Linked DNA regions of Oryzias latipes. The protein of the gene in region 2 interacts with the protein of the main gene of each other region in a biochemical or structural test. Links are inferred from orthologs where the notes say so. Each region holds a gene or a part of one and is shown on either strand. Other genes may lie near its edges.

The links. The genes of interacting proteins can lie anywhere in the genome.
Region 1: of the proteins of ubiquitin-conjugating enzyme E2 D2 (region 2) and uba6, one has a biochemical effect on the other in vitro, tested with the Homo sapiens proteins (7 studies listed by BioGRID, with this or other methods). The link is inferred for Oryzias latipes from reciprocal best matches to the Homo sapiens genes UBE2D2 and UBA6.

Annotation. Positions count from the first base shown.
Region 1 is NC_019859.2:12,650,096-12,654,607, forward strand, and holds the end of uba6 (ubiquitin-like modifier-activating enzyme 6), read left to right. Parts: intron 1-18; coding exon 19-70; intron 71-185; coding exon 186-249; intron 250-331; coding exon 332-401; intron 402-478; coding exon 479-550; intron 551-630; coding exon 631-754; intron 755-886; coding exon 887-1,080; intron 1,081-1,184; coding exon 1,185-1,312; intron 1,313-2,072; coding exon 2,073-2,160; intron 2,161-2,263; coding exon 2,264-2,358; intron 2,359-2,445; coding exon 2,446-2,587; 3' UTR 2,588-3,845; downstream 3,846-4,512. Other genes in the region: polq (DNA polymerase theta), read right to left, coding at 4,224-4,337, 4,475-4,512. UniProt on the Homo sapiens protein: Activates ubiquitin by first adenylating its C-terminal glycine residue with ATP, and thereafter linking this residue to the side chain of a cysteine residue in E1, yielding a ubiquitin-E1 thioester and free AMP.
Region 2 is NC_019880.2:25,335,652-25,340,711, forward strand, and holds the start of ubiquitin-conjugating enzyme E2 D2, read left to right. Parts: upstream 1-1,515; 5' UTR 1,516-1,905; coding exon 1,906-1,929; intron 1,930-2,659; coding exon 2,660-2,723; intron 2,724-2,867; coding exon 2,868-2,899; intron 2,900-3,027; coding exon 3,028-3,105; intron 3,106-3,321; coding exon 3,322-3,427; intron 3,428-3,536; coding exon 3,537-3,630; intron 3,631-3,717; coding exon 3,718-3,766; 3' UTR 3,767-3,767; intron 3,768-4,652; coding exon of another isoform or gene 4,653-4,698; 3' UTR 4,699-5,060.

The DNA of each region.
Region 1 (4,512 bases), on a different chromosome or scaffold from region 2:
AGTTTCTTGTTTCTTTAGGCTCTACAGCTGTTGCACTCCTTTCCTCTGGATACAAGGTTAAAAGATGGAAGTAAGTATTTTTTTTCTTTGTTGATCACTTCCAAATTCCTAATAGGATTAGGCCTTTAAACATCAGATTATTGCTTTTTGTGCGATAATGTGTCTGCTCTCTTCTGCCTCTCTAGGTTTGTTTTGGCAGTCCCCAAAAAGACCCCCAACTCCAACCGAGTTTGACCTAAAGGACCCTTTGTGAGTGTTTTCTGAAGTTGGAAGTTTGTGCGGTTTTTGCCCTTCCTTTTTGGTTTACACCTCCCTGTTCTGTTCCCGTCAGGCACTTCACTTTCATTGTCAGCGCCGCCCGGCTTTTTGCTGAGATTTATAACATCCCTTTCTCAGAAAAGGTAGGCCTATGACACCCGTGTCTCTGCTGTCAATCAAAGGTAGGATCACTTGTACTCACTGGGCTTTCTTGTGAAAGGATCTCTCCGAGGATGCCGTGTCAAAGATCCTCTCCGATGTCAAGATCCCCGAGTACAGACCCTTAGAGAAAGTAAGATTCTTACTTGATCTGGTCTTTGGTAACTCTGTCAGCTTTATAAATGTTGACGGTTGGGAATCTGCTGTTGACAGAGTATAGTGACCGATGAGACTGCAAAGAAGCCCGACCAGATGAAGATGCCTTTAAGCAGCGAAGAGGAGAGGGAAGCCATCGCACAGCTGGAAGAGGCCATTTCTACTGACGGCGTCACACCAGGTATATAAAAAGAGCCGAAACAGACCAGTCAAATTAAGATCTAAAGCTGATGTCGAAACCCTGACAATGCCTTAAACACACAGACTTGTCTTGCAGCTTTTAAAAACCCTTTTTTGTTCTCGTCTCCTGCAGAGTCGTTACGAATGAACCCCCTCCAGTTTGAAAAAGACAACGACAGAAACGGCCATATTGATTTTGTCACATCGGCGTCCTCCCTCAGAGCCAGGATGTACTCCATAGAGCCGGCTGACAGGCTGAAGACTAAACGCATCGCTGGAAAGATCATTCCCGCCATCGCCACAGCAACAGCTGCTGTGTCTGGACTGGTGAGATCAGGAACTGGGTTATCTTTAATGTTTTTCTCCAAAAAACTCAAAAGATTTCAACTTAGAAATAGAAGTTACATTTTGTGCTGTTTTGTTTTACAAAGGTTGCACTGGAATTAGTCAAGGTTGTTGGAGGTTATGGGTTTGAATCCTTCAAGAACTGTTTCTTCAACTTGGCCATTCCAGTCGTGGTGCTCAGTGAGACTGCTCCTGTTAAACGGACGGTCATCAGGTAGGAGTATTTAAAGGTATTTCCTACAAAACGTAACTAAAATACACCTAGCACAAATTCTCTGCACTCAAAGTTAGGGATGGGTTTAAGAAACATTGTATTTAATCAGTTTTCATTTAGAAAATTCAATTTCCATTCATCAAATCCATAAATTCCTCTTTCTTTAAGCACTTTGACCTTTTTGATACAGGATTTCCTGATTTTTTTTCTTTTTTTTTTACAGAAAGCTCCACTTTAGTTCATTTTTAATCACTAATTTTAGTAAAAGCTACTTTTAATTAAGCACACAAAACGTTTTTTTAAAGGAGAAGTGTATCTAGAAACAAATCAAATTGATCACCAGTACCTACTGGAAATGTGCTGTCTAGCAAAGTATTTTAATGTTAATCTTGTGATATCCCACATTTTATTTTAATTTATTTTATTTTTTAAACTTGTCCTGTCCAACAGCTGGGCGAGCAGATCAGAGCTAAGGCCTCTTGTGTTGGACAGATTTGACTGTTACAATAGGGGTTTATGGATTTTCAGACAGACTGAGTGTATATTTGTATAAACCCCGTTTTTGTATTTGAGGCTAAGCTTTATTTATAATAAATGTAAAAGGAAAGGAGAGGGAGGGAGTGGGATGTTAGAGATGGGGGGGGGGTTATAATACAGAGCCATTACATAAGAGGGCCATAAGTAAATTGCATGACTTACTTCTCACATACACACATCCTGCGTTTTTTACATGCAGTGACAAGTGTGTGACATTTTTCAGGAACAACCTCTCCTTCACCATTTGGGATTGTTGGACCATATTTGGCCATGAGGACTTCACTCTGTCTGACTTCATGAACGCAGTCAGGGTGAGACGTTCATTCACTGTGGAGCTTTAGTGGTTTGGCTACTGTTGTGTTTTGCCAGACTTGTTTATTAGTCAAATAACTCAACTTTCTTACATACCTGCAGGAAAAGTATACGATTGAACCTACCATGGTGGTCCATGGTGTGAAGATGCTGTATGTGCCTGTGATGCCCGGACATTCAAAGAGGCTCAAACTGACGTGAGTGCTTTAGTCTGAGTTTGTGTCCTTCTTTTATTGATCATTTTGATGCTTTATCTAAATACATGTTTATTTGGACTTTCACAGGATGCAGAAGCTTATCAAGCCATCAGTTGACCGCCGCTACGTTGACCTTACCGTCTCTTTTGCTCCGGAAGCAGACGGAGACGAGGATCTTCCAGGTCCTCCTGTCAGGTACTACTTCAGCCCCGATGGGAAGGCGCCCTGACCGCTTGCATGATGTCATCTCCAAGCCTCCTGTGTCCTTATTCCCCCCTTAATTTTTACATAAACTGATATGCCCCAAGAATGCAAGTCCAGGGCCAAGGGTTTTCCCACAGGAAGTTGTGGGACCGGGTCAGAGCTCTGAGCCCCAGCACAACCCCTGCGAGAAAGGTTTAGGTTCTTTTTGCCTCACATCTAGCCAGTGAAACACAAAAGGCTGCTCAAGTAGCACTTACTGTTGTACCTTTTGTACATATGTTCTCCCCGTTCTGTTTTTTACACTCTGGTGAAACGCTTGTGCCGATGCCTTACTTCTTTTTTTTTTTTTTTTTTTTTTCTGTTTGCGGCTCTAAGCCTAAATATAACTGTTTACAGAAAGCTCACATCCTCCCACTCACAGCCCATTTTTCACTTTAATTTTAAATTCTGCTCGAGCCCAAACGACTCTGTGAGCGGGGCTGTTGACACAATAAACACCGATAGTTGGCAGTCACCACATATTTTTGTTTTTTTTCCCCTGAATTTTTCCAGTTAAGGAACAAACCCAGCTGTTGTGTATTTGAACGGTTCAGCATTAAAGCAGTGGCAAAACCACCAAAGATGTTGGTTATTATTGTGTCTTCTAATGATTGTTCTTTAAGCTCTGACTGCCTCACAAAAGACGAGTCTACGTCAATGGCGATGGATAACACCTGAACATTTTAAGATTTCTATAGAAAAGCAGCAGTTTTATCACTTTGCACCTAAAAATATGCATCTGATGGATGAAGTTTTTGATAAGTAGGACCATCAGTAGCTGCTAGCCTTACCCAGTTTTTTTTTTTTACTTGAGTAACAATTGCATTTGACATATTTTGATGTTGTGCATTATTAATTTGTTTCGCACAAGAAAAAACCTTATTTTGACAGCAAGCAACATTTGTACCAACATCTGGGAACATTTATTTCACCAACATTTTCTATTTTAAATCCCTGTTCTTCGTGGTTTATTTGACATATTTGTTTATAAGTTCATGTCTGTGACATTTATTTATTTGTTCTTTTTGTTTTTTCAAATGGAGCCTGCGTTGATGCCCTCTGTCATGGTGTACTGGTTTGTTGTTAATGAATAGTGTCAATTCAGGCAAATCAATTGTCCTTTAAATTCCACTCCAATGTTGTAAAAGGGTCTTTGAGCTAATCTGTATTCTACTGTCTTGACAAAATGTTCATGGAGTTTTGAATGAAATCAATAAACTCTGTACTTCTCTTGATTTTAAAGATCCGTGGTGGAAAAAAAGTTCTTTGCCTTTTAAAAAACGTTCATAAGTTAAAGAAACGTGTCAGATCCACAGATGTTTTTTTTGTGATGGTAGGCTCAATGGTCTGTCCAATGAAATTTGATTTCAACATGCCCTCAAGATTAAAGTCTTAAAACATCACTTTTTCACAAATATTTAATGTTCATAACTGTGGCACAAAATCCACGAAATGTAGCTCCACTCAAGTAAAAGCATTCGTACATTCATTCAACAGGTTATGTACATGTAAATTAAATGCATTTCTTTTCCATTTCATTGCTGACAGTATTTAAAATATGTGCAAAAGACAGCATCTCATGTTACACAGTAAAAACTAAATTGCACACTATGACAGTCATTTCATATATCCAGATCCTGCAGGTCCCCCCAACTGCAGCCCATCTTCACTTTGACCTTTAACTTCACATACAGCTTCACTGCAGACTCCATCTCCCTCTTGACGATCTGTGCAACCTGTTGGGGACAAAGGTTTGGACAGTTCTCTCTGTTAAGGGTGTCTGAAACACATTCAGTAGACATCGTTTACTATTAGGTTGAAAATAAACCAAGTATTTCAAGTACACAAGACTTTGAAAGGATTGATGTCCCACCTGAATGAGGTCTTCTTGTGTTGTTTCATAGATGAGCT
Region 2 (5,060 bases):
AACAGTTGAGGACAGAAATACTGGCTACGGTTTCCTGGAACTGCCAGTTCCTGTTTGTCTCTGCGTCACCACCGGCTGCGAGAAACACAAACATTCAAATTTCAAGCAAATTCATTTGGGACATGCTGGAGATGTTTCCAGATGGGTGTCTGGTCTCAAAGACTGTTTGATAGGAGCTTTTATGCTCTCCATGCTGGGTTCTATAAAGACGGTTGGAGATCATTGCCATTTATTTGCTTTTTTATACAAACAACATATTTTAAAGCAACGTCATTTTACATAGAGTGTTTGGTAATTAATTTGACGTGCCACACAGCATACCTACTATTCATGTTTTTCCACAAGTTTATTTTTTTAACCTATTAAAACATAACACACAGTGGCTGCAGGTGAATTTTTCTAGCAGAAATTGAAAGATATACGACCAAGATATTAGAGAAAGAGTAAAGATAAAATTATCTAGGTCTGCATCTGAACACATCAACATTTTTTGTATTTTTCAGCACAGATCTGAAGGAATTGAATGACTGATTTCCCACATATGCTCCTCCTCTACTCAGCTTTCCAGGTTTATTGAATCACATTTCAATTTCTGAAACATCCATGGTGAAAAAAAGTTGAACATGACAATCAGGATGGAAAAAATCTAGAAGACGAAAGAGGTAAAGCCATAAAAAACAACCATAGAAAAGATCTGAATTTGTAGTGTCACAGAAGAAAATTATAGCCAAATAGGTGACTCTTTTGTAATTGGATGCTCATATTTAGAAGAGAATGATGTGTAAACTGATCAGAAATGGACAGTAAAGAATGACATTTTCTACTCTGCATGTTTCAAAGTTCAAATGTTTCTACCCAACTAATCTGGAAATATGTTGCTAAAGCAAAAGAGGTGACAGTTTTCACGCTCAAGAATATTTTCAGAGTAAACTCTGGAATGTCATTCCTGACATGGAGTTTAGCTGAAAAAGTAAGAATTCATCTTCCAAGTGTATTTAGGACTTCTAGGAAAATTTACAAGTGGAACTAATATAAAAAAAGCAAGACCTGAAGAAGTAATGAGAACTTATGCAGGTGAGCATTTGTCTGGGACAAACGGATGAAAAGTCACAAAATGAAACAACACACTGAAGCACACAATCCTCATTACAATAAGGAAGGACGTAACCATTTTGACTCCGCCCCTTTATTTTAAAATTTGATGTTCTGATTATAGTGTCATCCAGTTAAAATAATGGAATTAATTTATTAATAATCAGTTTTATTTAACAGCTGCTTTTAGAAACTACATAGTTAACAATAAATCACTAAAAATATAAATTTTAAACTCTATATTTCTGTACACAAAGGTGAGAAAAGTCTTGTGTAAAAAACTGCAGGGATGAACAGGAAGTTATAAAATTGTTGACAATAATTTCTCATTCTGCTTTCTCATTCACGCTCATGGCGAACTGACCACGCCCTCACAGCAGGATGACGGCGCATTCCCACTGACTGACTCCGCCCTCACAGGATTCTGGCTCCGCCCTCACGGCATAAAGCTTCATCTGTATGTGGACAGCGGCTAGTTAGCTAACAGCATCGACCGAAACCTGAAGAGGGGCAATTATATCAGGCCGGGGTTATCCACCTGGCGTTCGCAATTAGTCAATTCCCGAGGGGACACGGATATTTCAGAACCGAACCAAAAGAAAGGAGTTCCTGAGGAACGTAGCCAGTTTTCGTGAAGTCTTGGCCGCATACGTAGTTTTAACCTGCTATCATATCAGCTAGCTTAAGCAGACAGGCCGTGGAGCTGAGCCAGCGTGAATTATCTAATCGAAGCGGTCATCCTGGAACATCACAGCCCGCCTTTGTGCTCACTTTCTGTATCAACAATACGAAAACCCCAAACACGGAGGGAGGATGGCCCTTAAAAGGATCCACAAGGTAAGAGAACGGCGGAACTGCGTGCTAACGGTGTTAGCTTTCCATGCTAGCCTCCCTAACTATTCTCCGTCAAGGCTAACGAGGAAGTGTCGCTTCGAGGTTCAGGTGTGGAGCTCTGCTCGGCTTGATGGCGGTTATAGTTTTCAGTCCAGATACTTGTGTGTCAGAAATGTGTTACAACCGGCTGACGCGCAGCTCGCCAGCCAGCCAGCTATCATTAAATCATTAGCAGTTTCGATTTTCGACCTAACCTCTCTGTTGGGGCTGACGTCTGTCAGGGCCGACCGGTCTCGGTCGTTGTTTTTGCGTTCGGTTCTCCGTGATTCACACCTGACCAAGCCGGCCAGGGCCCACGTCACGATTAGCCTCGTCGCGCGTGTGCGCGCCCGGCTGAGTTAACTCCGGCCCGGATGGGAACCGGGCAGCCCCGGAAACCGGCAGGCCGCCCGCAACTTGCCGGTGTCTGGAAGCCTCTATGAGGAAAGGCCGGGGTGGGGCCCGGCTCATCCGCTCCAAAATAGACGGTCACCTAAAAATAAACATTATATGGACGGGCTGTATGTTTGCTGTGGATATAAAAACTGGGCTGTGCGGGCCCGTCCGGGGGAGGGGGTATGGGGGTAACCTTAACCAGGGAGGACGTTGTTCCTCACATACTCGGTGTTTGGAGATGTTGACGTTCGTCAGACTCTAGTATCTTCATGACTGACTGAAGCTCCTCTCCTGACAGGAACTGAATGACCTGGCTCGTGACCCCCCAGCTCAGTGCTCTGCTGGCCCGGTGGGAGATGACAGTAAGTGATCCGAACACACTGATGTAAATCTGAAAACCACATATGTTAGTGGATGCCGTGAACAGGAAACAGCGTTCCTGGCAGGCTGTGACAGTCACAGTGACCTGTAAGCTTCTTTATAATGCTTCATTTTTGTCCTTGCAGTGTTTCACTGGCAGGCTACCATCATGGGACCTGTGAGTACATTTTGACCTTCCCGTCATGTTATGGTGGTGGGGGGGGGGGTCTCACTTTCTTCATATAACGGCAAATGTTTATGCTTGGATCTGTCAGTCCTTAACTCGGTTTAAACTTCTCCTTGCAGAGTGACAGTCCATATCAGGGAGGTGTTTTCTTCCTGACAATTCATTTTCCAACAGACTACCCCTTCAAACCCCCAAAGGTGAGCTGCTATGACGGGTGTCTTCTGTGCGTTTCCATAGTAATGAGTTAAGACAGGATGTGGTGCTGCCTTTTGATTTAGACAAAGCGTTTGATTTCGGAACAAAGTGAAACTGTAATTCTTTTTTTTTCCTGTTTACATCATCTGCCGGTCCAGCCTGTTCTGTCGCAGGATCTGCGTTGCATAACTCAGATTTTTGTTGCGTCTCTCCCTCAGGTGGCATTCACAACAAGAATTTACCACCCAAATATTAACAGTAATGGCAGTATCTGTCTGGATATTCTCAGATCACAGTGGTCTCCTGCACTTACTATTTCTAAAGGTAGGAAGCTGTAGTTTGACGTTTAATAATTAACTAATGTCTTTTAATGTTGTGGAAGAAGTTTGCCTTCCGATGTCAAACTGAGTTTCCGTAAACTTTTCTCTTGTAGTTCTTCTCTCCATTTGCTCACTCCTATGTGACCCAAACCCCGATGACCCATTAGTGCCAGAGATTGCACGGATCTACAAAACAGATGGTCAGAAGTGAGTAAAAGCCGTCCTTTTGCATGTGACAAGACCCTGATCCCACCTTTTTTGGTTGATCCATGTGCGTGGATTTCACTTTGTTAGGTACAATAAACTAGCTCAGGAGTGGACGGCAAAGTATGCCATGCTGTAGGGTAAGCCTAGTGCTGCATCTTGACTGGTATCTCTTTCTCACCTTGGCAAAGATCTAACTGTTGCACTAATCTGTGTGCACACAACCAGTGTACTCGGTCAGATTCAGTCTCCCTTTTGTACCCCAGCTTCAGATTTGATCTGATTTTCTTCAGACGTTCTGAATGTGACGAGTTTGACGGGAAATGAACTGTATGCATGACAGTGAAAAAGTGGTTCAATTTGACGTGTCCTGCTAAGTAGCTTTTGGGGTCAGGCACAAATGTGTCTGGTGTGGTTAAAGTCCCACTTTGATCATCTTTTGATCTATTTTCAAAGCATTCTCACTGGTCTTTTAAATATGACTATTGCTAATGCAGAGCAACCCCCCCCCCCCCCATTACTGAGAGCTCCCCGTTTACGTGTTCTCCCCCTAGCTTAAAGTCCCTCACAGCCCCAAGCTAACATTAGCAGTGCAACAAAAATGTTGAGCAATATTGAAGCTATCTAGTGGTACAGTTTTTAGCCAGATGCCAGCTCAGACGAGGAAACAGGTTTTTTTAATCCTGTCTTTATTCACAAGGTTTGAATAGCTTAATTTATGTAATGTCCTCCATCAGAAAACCTCCGATAGAACGTATTAAAAACACTATTTTCAGTGGAGTGGGTCTTAAAAGTTCAGCACATCCAGGTTGAAGGTCTGCTAGTAAACATGTCTACTAATCAAGGTATGAGTTTCCGCTTTTTGTATCTTGTGGCGCTGCCTGAATGCGAACCGCATTGCTTAAGGTTGTAGCTGCTGTTGTGGCTCCTCCCACTACGCCTTCTCACCCTACAAAGTTATGTAAAGAAGTTGGATTGAAAATGCAGCCCCCCCCCCTCTAAAATCTGTTTTTATCCCTCTACAGATACACCAAAATGGCAAAAGAATGGACACAAAAGTACGCAATGTGACGGCGTTCATCGGAAGCTGCTGAAACTGTTCGTTTAAGATTAAAGTTTGGGTTTTTCTTTTTCACTTTTTGTTTTTATTAATCACCACTTGACCCCCCCCCCCCCCCCCCATCATTTTCTTTGTTTTCCTGACTATGAGAACGACAGCGTTTTCTCTCTAGCCCCCCCAACCCAAACTCAAGTATCATTGCAGTTTTTGGAGAAAAGAAATCAGCTTTTTGGTCTGAGGATGCTCAGAGCCTTATTGTTATTGACTCGTCACCTGTCTATCCATGTAGCTGGTCTGACAGACACTCCCCCTTTGAAGAAAAGCTTTGTTTTGGCAACCCTCTAACGGCAGGGCTGGAAAATCTTTGACCCCG